2 linked regions of the Elephas maximus indicus genome follow. The protein of the gene in region 1 interacts with the protein of each later gene in a biochemical or structural test. Links are inferred from orthologs where the notes say so. Each region holds a gene or a part of one and is shown in the gene's direction. Other genes may lie near its edges. The genes, in order: REPS2 and EPN1.

Region 1 (7,698 bases):
ATAGGACTATAGAAGGCAGAGTGAACCCTAAGTTCAGTTAATACTAATGTATCATAGTGATTCCTCCATTGTAACAAATGGACCACAGGGATGCACCATGTAAACAATAGGAGAAACAGTGTGAGGGGAAGAGGGGGGCCTAAGGACATTCTGTACTTTCTGCACACCTAAAACTGCTCTAAGAAATGAAACATTTTTTTAAAAGCAAGTTTATAAAAACACACATGCTAAATCACTGCTGCTTGATCGCTTCACATCCTCGAGCGAACAGCCTTCACTCTGCTTCTCAGAGCCCTTCAGGGCTGCCTGTCTTTCCTTACCCAGTATTATTGTTGTTGTTGGGTGCCTGTTGACTTGATTGCAACTCATCGCCACGCCGTATCCATATAACAGATTAGTAAGGTTTTCTTGGTTGTAATCTTTCGGGGAGCAGACTGCCAGGTCTTTTTCCTGTGGATCCGCTAGGTGGGTTTGAACCACCAACCTTTCAGTTAGCATCTGAGCGCCTAACCGTTTGCACCACCAGGACTGCTGTCCCTCTAGTCCTCGCTTCCTTGGCTCCTCCTTCTCCTGTGATGCTACCTCTCTGTCCTGTCCTTTCTCTTCCCCAACCCCACCCATTTATCACCAGCCCCTTCATCAAGCCTTCCTGGTTGGGCTCTAGCTCAGGGATTTTTCTCTTCTCTAAACTCCCACAGCACTTAGCCTGGGGTGCACAATTTAGCACTTAATTATATATTGTCTTTTATTGTTTGTTTTTGTTTCCTCTTTTTCACGAGGGCTGCATACTCCTTGAAAGAACACATTTTGTGTGAATGTGTATGTGTATCACAGTACTCTAGTAGGGCCATGGTAAATGCTTCCTGTTCCACCAATACATGTTGTCTGAGTGATGGATTGATAGGTACAGATGGGAGACTCTTGACCTATCTCTGCAGTATCTGCAGCTTAATAAGTATCTGTCAGATTTATTAAACTGAGTTGAGTAATGAAGAAGATCAGCTTTGAACTGGGTATTCAGCTGGGCAAATCATATCAACTCTGCATCCATTTTTTCATCTGCAAAATGGAGATAAAAGTGTCTTCAGCCTACCTCAGAGAGTTATTGTGAGACTTAAATGAATAATGTGTATGAAAGTGCTTTGAAAAGTCACCAATCACTATATGAACTATAAATATTCTTGTATCTCACATTTCCTTTGCCATGAGTCACAGGGGAAAGTAGGGTTTGGTGTTTATCATGGAGAGGGGGGGTCCCTTTGCAACCTTTGTTCGAATGGTGTGCCACTCTCAGGGAAGCCTGAGAACAACTGGAAAGGTTGTTTTTTTAGTTGCTGTCTAGATGGCTGATACTTATGATGACCTTATGTATAACAGAACGAAACATTGCCTGGTCTTATGCCATCTCCATGATCTTTGAGATGTTTGAGGCCATTATTGCGGCTGTCACTTCTATCCATCTCACTGATGGTTTCCCTTGTTTTCACTGATCCTCTACTTTACCGAACGAGATATCCTTTTATAGCAATTGGTCTTTCCTGATGATGGGTCCAAAATAAGCGAGTTGAAGTCTCACCATCCTCACTTCTAAGGAACATTCTGATTGTATTTCTTCTAAGACTGATTTGTTCATTCTTTTGGCAGCCCATGGTATATTCAGTATTCTTCGCCAACACCACAGTTGGAACATATCAGTTCTTTTTCTGTCTTCTGTTTTCATTATCCAACTTTCGCATACATATGAAGTGTTTGAAAAGACAATGGCTTGGGTCAGATGCACCTTAGTCATCAAAACTGACAGATGGGTGGTGGACTAGAAAGGTAAGAAGAGAATAGCATTATCTCTTGGCTTCTACTTTTCCTGACTCCAGTGTAGATGCTTAAGGAGCTAGGATGATGTTGACTATTTGAGTTATATTTTAAATTTTGGTGATATGGGAAGGTATTACAGTAGTGGAAAATACAAAGGTGGTGAGATTTCGAAACGGAAATTCCTAAGCTAAGTTAGTCTTCACTGCTTGGAACTTACCTACCCTTTCTGTACCCTTGTTCCCAAGCCTATTGATATCTTAATTCTCTTCTGGGAGATCTGAATCTTTCTTCAGATTGCGAAAGAGACACATTGCTCTGGCCATCCTTATGAAGTTGACATTTTTCCTTTTCCTTCTTATGTATTGCTCTTCCTCTATCCCTTTTTTTTTCATCTTGATCATCTCCTGATTATTTTTCCTTCTTATCTTTTTCTGTCCTTGATCCTTATTTTAGTTGGCCATAATACCAAGGTATATTTATTATCATCAGTGGTATTTCTTGAGATGTCTTTTTCTGTTCTTAATTTATTTATACAAATAATTTATTTTGTTGTTGTTATTGAGAATACACCCAGCAAAAAATACACCAACTTAAGTTTCTACATGTACAATTCAGTGACATTGATTACATTCTTTGAGTCGTGCAACGATGCTCACCCTCCTTTTCTGAGTTGTTTCTCCCGTTAACTGTTTTTAATTAAAACTATTGGGGCAAAAGTTTTATATATCTCTTTATTAAAGCAATTTCTAAAATGGAATTTTTTTTTTTTATTGGTGCTTCACCCTGGACTGATTTCTTTTTCCCCTTTGGTTAGTATTTCCCAGCTAGGCTTAATGAATATAATTCTGCCATCCTTCTCAGGAATATTGACATTTCAAGAGCTGCCACTGACTGGCCGTGTGACCTCAGTCACTTATTCCTCTTTCAGCTGGGAAGTAGCTACCAGTAAAAAAACCCGTTGCCCTTGAGTCAATCCAATTCATGGCGATCCCATGTGCTTCAAAGTAGAGTTGCCCTCCCCAGGGTTTTCATAGCTGTGACCTTTCAGAAGCAGACTACCAGGTCTTTCTTCCAAGACGCCTCAGGGAGGATCTGAACTGCCAAACTCTCTGTTAGCAGCCGAGTGTGCTAAAAAAGGAAAAGAGATGCAAATATGCAGGCCTGATGATGGAATTGCCAGTGCAGTCAGTGGTGGGGTAAACATTTTCCTTCCAGTGGAGTCTTTTCAAGTCTTTCTCTTAAAAGTGGCTAGAGCAATAGTCAAGGGAACTGACGATGGAGCAAGCAGATTTGAAAAATATAGTGTGCACACTTTAGAATGGAGAGAAATGGAGGGTCACATGGGCAGGGGTCTAAAGATGTAGGTTCTAGTGTTGACTTTGGTGTGAACTTGTACAAGTCTTGCAGCCTTTTAAAAAAACATGACTGTTTTCCCACCTAAAGAAACATTCCCTTTGGGGGGCACCAACCCCCTCTTACTGAGGCCTGTATTTTCAGGCCCTAGAGGATACACCAGAAACCCTGGTGACATAGTGGTTAAGAGCTACGGCTGCTACCCAAAAGGTCAGCAGTTTGAATCCACCAGGCGCTCCTTGGAACCTCTATGGGGTAGTTCTACTCTGTCCTATATGGCTGCTATGAGTCGGAATCAACTCCACAGCAATTGATTGGGTTTGGTTTTTGGTTTAGAGGATAAACCTTTTACCCGTTGCCATCTAATTGATTCCAACTCATAGCAACCCTTTAGCACAGAGTAGGACTGCCTCATAGGGTTCCAAGGCTGTAATCTTTACTGGAGCAGACTGCCACATCTTTCTCCCCACAGAGCGGCTGGTGGGTTCCAACCACAGACCTTTCAATTAGCAGCTGAGCGCTTAACCACTGCTCTACCAGAGCTCCTTGTTACACAGTAGATATTCAACCAGTGTTGGATGAATGAAGGTGCAAATCAAATAGCACTGTTTCCTCATCTGTAAAAGAAGGAGTTGGACAAAATGATCTCCCAAAAGGACCTTTTTGTTTCTGTTGTTGTTGTTAGGTGCCCTCCAGTCGATTTCAATTTATAGCGACCCCATGTGACAGAGTGGAACTGCCCCATAGGGTTTTCTTGGCTGTAATCTTTATGAGCCGATTGCCAGGTTTTCCTCTTGCGGAGCGTTTCACTTTTTTGCTCCTATTACTCTAATATTTAACACTAAATATTTAACACCATCCTATGTTATTCCTTGTTAAGGCTCAAGCTCAGGTTTGAAGCATTCTTGAGAAAGTGGCTTAACCCAGTTGCCACCCCGAACGCTATGGGGAGTCACTGCTATGGGGAGCCACTGCGACCTCGTTCGGATGGGGATCCCTGTCCTGCAGCTTTTCAGGACATAAGCAGTGCTGATATGGAAAGAAGGAAATCAACTTTCCCATGCCACATCCCTTTTCTGGGAAGGGCCTGGCGCGGCGTGGGCACCACACCTGCTCCACCCTCCTAGGGAGAAAGCACGGCCTTCTGCGTCCCTGAACTCGTCCTTCTCCAGGTGGGTCCAGACGGCCCTCTTTCCAGCTAGGGCGGAGCGATCAAGACGGCGCTCCTGCGCAGCTGGGCGCGGCGCTGAGCCCCCGGCGCAGGCCCAGCAGGTGAGGGGCAGGGGGCGGGCAGCGCGCCAGTTAGCTACCTGGCGCGGGCGGGGCGGGGCGGGGCGCGGCGGGGCGGGGCGGGTGCGGGCGCCCCCGGGCGGCGATTGGCCGGCACGGGCCTGTCTCCATGTGCCGCGCGGCGGAGGCACAACATTCAAGCCGGGGGCGGGGCGCTCGCCGGAGGAAGCGGCGGCGCGGCGGCAGCTGCAGGGCGTGGGGGCGGTGGCGAGGCCCCAGCCGGCTCGGCGGTGCGGGTCGTGCAGGCCATGGAGGTAGCCGGCGGGGGCGGCTCGGGGCCGCCGCTGCTGCTGAGCGACGCCGAGCAGCAGTGCTACTCCGAGCTGTTCGCGCGCTGCGCCGGAGCCGCGGGCGGGGGCCCCTCCGGACCCCCCGAGGCCGCCCGCGCTGTCCCCGGCGCAGCCACGGCTGCTGCTGGCCCGGTGGCCGACCTGTTCCGGGCGTCGCAGCTGCCCGCCGAGACGCTGCACCAGGTAGGACCCTGCGGCCCCTGCTCCTGCGCGTCGGTGGGGACCGTGTCTGCAGGAACGTGGGGGCGGGGCGGCCAGGGGCCCGGAGGCCTCGGCCAGGTAGCAGAGATGGGGCTCCGCAGCCGGGGATGGCGGCGACGACGCCCTTGACCCCCGGGGACACCTAGCTCCTCCACAGCTCAGCCCCTTCACAAGGCTGGGTGCGCTGTAGGTTTTCCTTCCTGGAGACGGGCTGACACTCCCCCCACCCCCTGGCCATTTCTGGGCTCTGCAGCCACCCAGACTCAAAGTTTGCCCTGTTCTGGAAGTGGTGTTTGTTTTGGCTGGTGTCTGGGTTAACCTCTGCTCTTCTCTCCTGCCCCTCCCTCCCCTAGGCGGATGGGAAGGGAGTGGGGGTGCTCAGGGTGCCTTGCTGGGATTTGAACTTGAAGGAGGTATGTGCCTGTAGGGCTGGGGGCCCAGGACTAAATGTTGTCCTCTGTATACTTGTACGGCATACACATAGCTACTAGATGTATTTGTCCACTCACCTATTTCTTAGTATTAGTATTAGTATTAAGCTGGAAAACCTTAAAGACAAGTTTCAGAGCAGGAACACAGGGCTGCGAGACAACTTCTATCAAGTCAAAGCCAAGCTTGCCATTTTGGAGCTGGAGGTGTATCCCAGACGTACACTGTGGAGAGCAGCTGTAGCTTCCGATCTTAGCATTACTTGAACTTGAAATAGAATTGGAAGGAAACGAGTGTTATAGCTCCCTCCTTTTCGCCACCCCCAACCTGGAAAAGCGGGTGGGGGGCGGGGATTGAGCCACAGCAGATGCCGTTTTATGCTTTCCTTGGAGAAAGACTACTTGATACGCACTTTGCCTTTGGATGCCGCCAGCACTTCATGGTGATAAGATTCTTAATACCAGGCACAGAATGGGAAATGAAGCTTTTCTTAAAATCAATTCTCAGTTTTACAGTTATTGACACCAATAGAATATTTAGAGTGGTGATTGATATTTTAAAGTCTGGTTCCAAAGGAGTATTGAGGGTTTTGTGGTTCATTTTCAATATCACTATTTGTAGGTATTTTCTATTCATTTACGACTGTGTTTTTTGCTGTTGGAGTGTGCTTATGCCCTTATGTTTGTGAGTGTCTTGTTGTTGAGTGCCTTCAAGTCGATTTCGACTCTTAGTAAGTCTATAGGACGGAGTAGAACTGCCCTGTAGGGTTTTACCTAGGATGAAATCTTTACGCACATCGCCGGATCTTTTGTCCTGCGGAGCCTTTGCAGCTGCAGACCTTTTGGTTAGCAGTCAAGTGCTTAACCATTGCACCACCAGGGCACCTCTCCACCTTTTAGAAGTTAGGATTTCTGAAGATGGTGTTAGTATTCACAGATGTTAGCATGGCTGTTTGTACCCAAAGAAGTCCACAATATGTAGACAGTTCTGCTACTGCTGTTTAGCAGTTGAGTTGGAGCGCCTCGGTGTATGCATCTGTAAAATGATAGCATGGTTTTCATGGACATTGAAGCAGTGTCTGTAAGTCACTCTGAAGCCTTCGGAGGGAAAGTCGTGTCTTAAAACATAAACCATGGCTGTTACGTGAGGCCCTGAGGATACTCTCAAGCACAACGTATTTATTAAAGGCCATAGCTACTGCCATGAAGTTCCTGGGTGGTACACAAGATTAACACACTCGGCTGCTAACAGAGAGGTTGGCAGTTCAGATCCTCCCTGAGGTGTCTTGGAAGAAAGACCTGGCAGTCTGCTTCTGAAAGGTCACAGCTATGAAAACCCTGGGGAGGGCAGCTCTACTTTGAAGCACATGGGCTCGCCATGAATTGGATTGACTCAAGGGCAACGGGTTTTTTTACTGGTAGCTACTTCCCAGCTGAAAGAGGAATAAGTGACTGAGATCACACAGCCAGTCAGTTGCAGCTGGGAACCTGTTCAGGCGTATTGTGTTGTCAGTACTACGTTGAGCGAAGAGCCCCTGTGGCGCAGTGGTTAAAGCGTTCAGCTATGAACCAAAAGGTCGGCCGTTTGAACCCACCAGCCGCTCCTCAGGAGGAAGATGTGCCAGTCTGCTTCTGTGGAGATTTACGGTCTTGGAAACCCGACGGGGCAGTTCTACTCTGTCCTGTAGGGTTTCTATGAGTCGGAATGACTGGATGGCAGTGGCAGTACACTGTGTTGAGAGGAGGTGGGCAAATTCAGTGTGAATGTGCTGTTGACTCTTCAGCAGTCAGGGAGGGGGCTTTCTTGGTATTAGAACCCATGCTCCTTTGAGGCATATGTGATTTTAAAAGAACCCAAGGCAGAGTGCCTTTGCATAAATGGGATTATATTCTTCTTAAAAAATTTGATTTTATTGTGCTTTAGGTGAAAGTTTACAGCTCAAGTTAGCTTCTCATATAAAAATTTTATACACATTGTTATGTGACCCTAGTTGCCATCCCTGTAATGTGACAGTACACTCCCTCTTTCACCCCAGATTTCTCGTGTCCATTCACCTAGCTCCTATCCCTTTCTGCCTTCTCACCTCGTCTCTGGACAGGAGCTGCTCATTTAGTCTCATGTATCTACTTGAGCTAAGAAGCACACTCTTCACAAGTATCATTAATGTCTTATAGTCTAATCTGTGAAGAGTTGGCTTTGGGAGTGGTTTTAGTTCTGGGTTAACAGAGAGTCCGGGGACTGTATCTTCTTGGGCTCTTCCAGTCTCAGTCAGGCCATTAAGTCTGGTCTTTTTAGATGAATTTGAGTTCTGCACCCCACTTTT
Region 2 (7,895 bases), on another chromosome or scaffold:
TGGAGGATGTGCGTGACGAGTGCAGCAAGTATGGGCTTGTCAAGTCCATTGAGATTCCTCGGCCCGTGGACGGCGTTGAGGTGCCCGGCTGTGGAAAGGTCAGGGCAGCCAGGGGCTTGGCATGCATGTCCTTGTGTGTGCCTGTTGCTCCGTGTGTGCGTGTCCTCATGGGTCTACCTGTGTGTGTCCCCTAGTGTGTGTGTGTGTTCCCATATGTGTATCTGTACCTCACGAGCACGTGTTCCTCTGTGTACCCGTCCCTGTGCCCATGTGTGTGTCCTCATGTGTGCCTTCGTTTGGGCATGCATCTCCCCACATGTGTGTCTCACACACACACCCCCCACCACCATCACTACTGAGTGCCCCCTCTGGGCATGGCTCCAGGGAGATTCTGGGGAGCTGAGAGGTGTGTGGCCCACTGGGGCCCCCTTGGTGGATAGCCATGTTAGCAGGCAGTTGGGCATACAGCGTTGTGGCCATGAACCTTGGACTCTGTATAGAGGTCACCTTGGTGCAGAACCTGGCTCTGCTGCTGCTGCTTTACGTCATCTTGTGTAGGTGACACTTCTCTGAACCTTGGGTGCTTTGTGAAGTTTTAGAAGCTGCAAACTCACTGGTGTCCACTCTGTGCTCGTTGCCCTGCCTGAGCTGTGCATATTGCATATGTGACTGTTCTCACAGCAGTGCTCCCTGATCTGTCTGGGGTTGCAGCCAGTCCCTGCTACAGGAGGAGGTGTGGGTACAGAGAGGTCACAGGCCACACAGGCATGGGTGGAGCCCCCGGAGTCCCATTGTCCCGGCTCTGTGCACTCATGGAGGAGGAAGATAGTAGCCTCTTTCGGCTGCTTTCTTGCCCCCTTCTCACTGGGTGTGGTATAAATGGCCGGAGTCCTGGAGGGTTCTTGTCAGGGCTGCTCCAGGTTGTGGTCTGGTGTCTAGAATGGAGCCTGGCTCAAAGTAGGGGCTGAGCGAGCACTGGTGGGAAGCAGGAAAGGAAGAACCCCAGGCTCTGGCATTGCCAACCTGTTTTGTTTAAATATAATTTGTGTTGTTGAGAATATGTATAGCAGAACATATACCAGTTTAACAATTTTTACATGTACAGTTCAGTGGTGTTGATTACATTCTTGTGCAGCATTCTCACCCTCTTCTGAGTTCCCCCATTAATGTGAACTCACTGCCCCCTAAGTTTCCTATCTTTCAAGTTGTCAATTTGATCCCATGTAGATTTTTAAAATTTTAGCCTTTTCTTCTTGTCTTCATTGGTACTGCATTTCCTGTTACTATTTTAAATTAATTCTGTTGTTGAGAATATACATGGCAAAACATACACCAATTCAACTGTTCCTACACTTAAAGTTCAGTGATTACATTCTTTGGGTTGTGCAACCATTCTCACCCATGTTAATGGGAGAGTTGTTCCTCTCCCATTAACATAAATTCACTGTCCCCTAAGGTTCCTATCTAATCTTTTGAGTTGCAGTTGCCACTTTGATCAGATACAGATGGTTAAAGATACAGATAGTTGTTAAAAGAGCATAATTCTCAAGGCAGACTTTTTTTTTTTTTAACTAGTTAAGCTAAATTGTTGTTTGGTTTTAAGATGATTTTAGGTTTAAGGTTGATAGTTTGCCTCAGGGCAGTAGTTTTCAGGGATTCATCCACCCTCCGTTGCACCAGAAAATCTGTAGTCCCTGAGAATTTGACATTCTGTTCTGCATTTTCACCTTTCTGATTAGGATTCTTTTATGGAATCTTTGGTCAAAATGTTCACTGATAGTAGCCCAGAACTCTGCAGCACTTCTGAGAAGTCACTGAATTGTAACTGGCAAGGGAGGCAGTTGTTCATGGAAGCAAGTAGCTACACATTGCATTTATGCCTCCTATTCCTGACTTTTCTTTTTACCTCTTTTGCTCCAAGAGAATAGAGACCAGTTGTGCCTTGGATGGTTGCTGGCAAGCTTTTAAGACCCCGGGCATTATGCAGTGAGCTAGGAGGCAGAAAATAACATTTATAGGGCAAATAACTGGGATGTCTCATGAAACCATGACCCTAAACCACTAAACCCAGGAACCAAATTCCTTGAGGTGGTTCGTTGAATATATAAGCAGCTTCAGCAGCCAATTTTTGTCTTTTCTCTTGTCATTGTAAATATATCACAATTTCGCCAGCTCAACTTCTTACAGTTATGTAACTTGACAAAAACTACATTAATTGGCTTCGTAATTATCCCTTCCCTTAATCAGTGTGCTTTTTCCATCTCTCTAAACTGCAACTCATTTCTACATAAGCAGTAACTACATCTTGCCCCCTGCTGTTTTGAAACTTTATTGTGGACCTTTTCAAACATGCATAAAAGTAGAGAGAAAATATGACAGTATTGTACCTACCGTTACTTGAAATACTTCAGTAGGTTAATTTCTCAACTAGTGACATTTCAGGTGGGCTCATTCTCTGTGGTGGGAACATGCTGCACATTTCAGGATGGTGAACAGTGGCCCTGGCCTCTGCACAGTAGAAGCCAATAGCACCCCTGCCCCCAGTTGTAACTGCCTAGTGTCCCATCCTGGGGGACAATATTAGCCCAGGCTGAGAAACACTGCTTATTTTAATGAAACCATGACACCATTTATTTGAACAACATTAACATGGATTCCTTAGTATTTAGTCATTCCATGTTCATGTCCCTGTCTAATGTGTTTTTACAGCTAATTTGTTTCTGCAGAGATCCAAACAAGGGCCTCACCTTATACTTGGTTACAGTTTCTCCTAATTTCTACCAGTTCTACCCGCCGCCCCCCTTTTTTTTTTGGTCAAGCAGTTTTATTTGTTGAGGAAACGGGGTCATTTGTCCTATCCATCCCATTGCCATCGAGTCAGTTCTGACTCATAGCGACCCTATAGGAGAGAGTAGAACTGTCCCATAGGGATTCCGAGGAGCGCCTGGTGGTGGATCTGAACTGCTGACTTTTTGGTTAGCAGCCGTAGCTCTTAACCATTATGCCTTCAGGGTTTCCATTTGTCCTACAGAACGTTCCATGTTTTGGATTAAGCCCATTGTATCGTATCCCTCCGCCTGCCCCTCCAGTTTCCTGTAAACTGGTGTTAGAAGCGTTAGTAGATCAGGCAGTTTAGTTTTTTAACGTGGCTTTCTCTTCTGTCTTAGCTCTCCTTCCACTCTGGCTCTGAAGGTTATTGTTCCTAATTTCTGAGCGTCCCTTCCTCTATCTGTTGTCTGAGGGAGAACCTGGCCCTGGGAGTCACTTGGGGAGTGCCTCCCAGTGTCTATGCAGAGTAGACCTCAGCGCTGTTGCTCTCGGCCTCTGGGAGCTGGTGTGTCCCTTGTGTGGCTGTTCTCTCACTGATGCCTCTGCTGTGCAGTCTCTTGTTCCTGGGGGCTCTGAAGGAACTTGGAGTAAACGCCCCACACCTGCACCAAGGCCGCCTCTGTGCAGGCCCTTCTTCCTGCTGAGCCCTCTGTCCTGAGTGCTGGGTTTGTGTTCTTGTGGGTTGCTAGGAGTGTGCCCACCTGTTCTTCTGTCTGGCCTTCATACCTGCCTGTTGTTTCCACAGATCTTTGTGGAGTTCACCTCCGTGTTTGACTGCCAGAAAGCCATGCAGGGCCTGACGGGCCGCAAGTTCGCCAACAGAGTGGTTGTCACAAAATACTGTGACCCCGACTCTTACCACCGCCGGGACTTCTGGTAGAGGCGGCCGGGGGAAGGCAGGGCCAGGGCTGGCAGGGGGGCTTCCTCCCTTCCCGCCCCCCTCTTTTCCCCCTCTGAAGACGATGGGCAGAGGAGTGACAGCCGAGTGACAGCCGGCAGCAACTGGAATGGCAGCGATTGGGGTGGGGTGGGGGCGGGGGGATGGGGAAGTGTACACATGCGCCCAGCGCCCACAGACACACGCGCCCGAAGACACAGAGGGCAGGATTGGGATGGGGATGGGTGCACACAGGGCGGGTTAGGACCCCCACGCCCCTCCCCACAAAGCCTCTCTTCCTCCCTTGTACCTTCCCCTCCTCTTCCCCTTGGTAGGAACATAGCGTGTTTATATTTTATGGCCAAACTTTTGAATTTTGTTGTCCGGCCCCCAGTGTCCAGCCCCTTTCCAGGACCACAGTTCCTGCCCTCTTGGCCTCTGGCCCTTTCTGGTCGCTCCCTGGTTTCTTATGTAGTTGATTCTCTCCTCTTTAGTCTTAGCCAGACCTGTTCCCAACCCTGTGGCCCCTATCCCCCTCCTACTCTCTGTGGCAGTTTCATATTTGCTAAGACGAATTTGCTCATTAAACATTTTGTTGTATTTTACTTATGGAGCTGCTCTGTGTCTGGTCTGTCTAACCCTTTTCAGGGGGGTTCCTCTTGGCAAACTGGGGTGCTTGCCGGGGATTCCTGCGGGGGACGGGAGCAAGCTGTCCCTGACCCATGATCCCTAGCCCGTACCTGTCTGTAAAGCGTCGGGTATAGAGCGTGTCTCAGAGAGCAGTGAGCATGCAAGCGTGCCGCGGACTGGCCTTGGGGCCCCGCGGGGCAGCGGGCGGCCTCGTGAGGTCGAGGCCTAATGGCACCTGGCGGCGGGGCGTGGCTGTGGGGCTAGGACAAGCGGGGGCGCACTCAGCCCCCTCTCGGACGCCAACTTGAGTCTGCGGGGCGTAACCGGCTCCACAGTCCGCGAGGCCCGTGCACCCCACCTCGCGGCCGCAGCGGCGAGCGGAAGTGAGGTCAGCTGCGCCTAGCGACGGGCGCAAGAGGCCGCGCAGAGGAAGTGCGGATTGTACGCGGGTAGCAGCGACTGCGCAGGCGCGTCGAGGGCGGGTGACGCGGCCATTTCCGCTTCCGGTCCGTCACCTTCGGTTGCTTCCCGACTATTGAGCGGCTCCGCTCCCCTGGCCCGGCTCTCCGCGCCCCCTCCCGGGCGCCGGGGCGGCGGGGCGGTCGGCGTGCGGTCTCCGGAGCGTCCGCGCGTGCGTCCGAGCGCGCCTCCGCCTGCGTCGCCCGCCGCGCGCCCCGCGACACCGAAGCCAAGCGGGGGCAGGGGGGCTGACCGTCATGACCCCCCGGAGCCCGTCGTGAGGGGCCGAGGTGAGCGCGGGCTCGGGGCGCGGGGTCAGCTTGGGAGGCGGCAGGCGCCGCGGCCCGGGCCTGGGCGGCGGCGCGCGGACTTCGCCGGGCCTCGGGACAGGCTGGCTGTCCGTTCTCGGGTCTGGTCGTCTCTGCCGCCTTTGCGTCTCCGCGTCCGGGTCCCTGTGTTTGTCTTTTCGTCTTCTCCTCGGCCGGCCTGATCTCCTGTCTGTCACCGTCTGCCTCTTTTCTCGGCTTCAGTGTGTGCTTCCGTGGTGGTCGGTCTCTGTGTCGGCTTTGGTGTTCTTGACGTCCCTGTGTGTCTGTCTTATCTCTGTGTGACTGCCAATATTTCTCTCTGGGAGTTTCCGTGACTTCAGCTCCCCAGGTGTCCCCAGCCCTCCTCTAGATCCTCTTGCCTCTAGGGCTTCTCTTTCTCTTCCTGTCTTCACTTCTCACTTTTGCCCCCTGTACCACCACTTCCAGTCCCAAAGTCCCCGTCCACGAGTCTAGCTAGGATCTGACTCTCCCCATTCCCACCTAGTTTCCTGAGACTGGAATGTGGTGGTTAAGATCCCCGACTCTGGAATCTGAGACCCTACTGCTTGCTAGTTGATGGTATTTTGACAGGTGTTTTCTTTTATCCGTAAACCTCAGTTTCCTAGTCTTTGAAATGGGAGTAACAGTAGCTCCCACATGATAGGGTCCCTGTGCATGTTAGTTGAGGCGGTGCTTGTGAAGCACCTAGAACACTGCCTGGCAGGTAGACAGTGTGTAATTAACTGGAAGCTTGTGTAGATTTTCTGTTCCATTTAGTATGCCTTAGTAGTTTCTGTTATATTGTATTTGCCCGTACTGCCCCTGATATTTTTCTTCGAATCAGCTTAAATTTGAAAGACCAAGCCTCATTCTAAGCAAGATCTAAAATCTTAGCTTTGATGCACGAGATGTGTGCTTTTCCGGACGCGCTTTAGATAAATACACGCTGTTAATGCATCTTCGGATGCCACCCTTCTGGAAAGGTTTTTTGTTTTTTTCTCTGATAATAATAGCAACCAGCATTATTGAGCGCCTCCTATCTGTGGGGCCTGGAGCCAAGCACTTTATGTACCCATAGTATTTAATCAACTAGTCTGCCAGGTAGAGATTCTTTTCCTCATTATGGAGTTGAACAAACTCCCTCTCGAGGAGGCTGCTCTGCTATAGCTTATGTGCCAAAATTTGGATCTAAATTCCACACACTTTCCATTATATCCTAATTTTCTTGGGCCTTCTCTGTCCCAAGTCACTGCCTGTTTCTGTTCTAGGGCCTGTTTTTTCTCATTTCCCTGCCTGCGTCACTCATTGTCTTTCCCTGTTTCTTGTTGTGTCTTTGCTCATCTCATTGTGTCTGCGGGACTCCCGCTCTCTGCTTGTCTCTCTCAGTTTCTGTTCTGTCATCCCCTAATCTGCCTTTGTCACTTTTTCTCTTAGTCTTCATGTGTCTGGCTGTCTTGGGCCCTGGCTGTCTCTTGTCAACTATTTACATCTATCTCCGAGTGCCTGGCTCTCTGGCCTGAGTTCAAAGGCAAGGGCCAGCCTGTTTTATTCATCCCCATGGCCCTGGGGACTTACGTTGTTGTGGGGCTCAGCACCTGTCCATCAGTAGCTGCTCAGAGCCTGCTCGGGATCCAGGTTCGTGGGGATGACTTGTGTGCCCCTGGGAAAGGGCGTTTCCTCTCTCTGTCCTCCCCTGTAAGTGGCTCTGAATCCTGGGCTTGTTGGAAGGATTACCTGGGTTAGTGTGTATAAAGCACTTAGGAAAATGCCTGGAACAAGGTAAGAACCACGTAAGTGCTTAGTGTCATCATCATAAGGAGTCCTAGTGGCGCGTGATTAAAAACTTGGCTGCTAACTGAAAGGTCAGCAGTTCAAATCCACTAGGCTCTGCAGGAGAAAAATGTGGCAGTCTGCTTCCATAAAGTTTTATAGTCTTGGAAACCTTATGGGGCAGTTCTGTTCTCTCCTGTAGGGTCACTCTGAGTTGTAATCAGCTCGATGACACACGACAGCGACATTATCATCATTATCATTTGTTTGATTCCCTTCCTTTTGTTCTTGTGGCACTCATCTCAGCCCAGGTTAGTTTAATGTTGTTGTCAGCTGATGTCGAGCTGGCCCTTGGCTCATGGCGACCCCACACACATGAGATCAGACTGTTGTGACCCACAGGGTGTATGTTGGCCTGTTTCAGTAGTATATTGCCAGGGCTTTCTTAGTCCATCTTAGTCTGGAAGCTCTGCTGAAGCCTCCTCAGCGTCACAGCAACTTGCAAGCCTCCACTGGCAGATGGCTGGTAGCTATGCATGAGGTGTATTGACCAGGAATTGAACCCGCACCTCCTGCATGGAAGGTGAGAATCCTGAACCACCACTGCCCTCTTAATTTAGTGTCAGTAAATTTAAATGTGAGCAGTATATGTTTTGGAGGTGGGCCTAGGTATTTATCCCTATGCTGCCCTGATCCTGGGGTGTGACCTTGGTTGAATTGTTTAACTTTCACGAGCCCGGGCCCCTCATTTGTAGTCTTGACATGCTGTATGCAGCAGTGTTAAATGAGACAACAAATGTGTTAAATGAGATAATGTTCTCTCGGGCTGGCACACAGATAGGACCCAGTCAGTGGGGCTGTTGTACTCCTTATCTCTCTTCGCCTGGATCTTCAGCTTCTCACACCTTTGGGACGCAGGGTTCCCCTGATGTTCCCCCATCCTTTCGCTGCCCAGCTTTGTATTCTCTTCAGTGGCCCACTATCCCGGGTGTCCTTTTTTTGCCCTGAGTTCCTGCCTCCTC

Evidence for each region.
Region 2: the proteins of REPS2 (region 1) and EPN1 form a complex in vitro, tested with the Homo sapiens proteins (3 studies listed by BioGRID and IntAct, with this or other methods). The link is inferred for Elephas maximus indicus from reciprocal best matches to the Homo sapiens genes REPS2 and EPN1.

What each region holds. Positions count from the first base shown.
Region 1 is NC_064846.1:162,638,981-162,646,678, reverse strand, and holds the start of REPS2 (ralBP1-associated Eps domain-containing protein 2), read left to right. Parts: upstream 1-4,598; 5' UTR 4,599-4,703; coding exon 4,704-4,928; intron 4,929-7,698. UniProt on the Homo sapiens protein: Involved in ligand-dependent receptor mediated endocytosis of the EGF and insulin receptors as part of the Ral signaling pathway. By controlling growth factor receptors endocytosis may regulate cell survival.
Region 2 is NC_064829.1:91,322,187-91,330,081, reverse strand, and holds the start of EPN1 (epsin-1), read left to right. Parts: upstream 1-4,841; 5' UTR 4,842-5,085; intron 5,086-7,895. Other genes in the region: U2AF2 (splicing factor U2AF 65 kDa subunit), read left to right, coding at 1-98, 3,575-3,709. UniProt on the Homo sapiens protein: Binds to membranes enriched in phosphatidylinositol 4,5-bisphosphate (PtdIns(4,5)P2). Modifies membrane curvature and facilitates the formation of clathrin-coated invaginations. Regulates receptor-mediated endocytosis.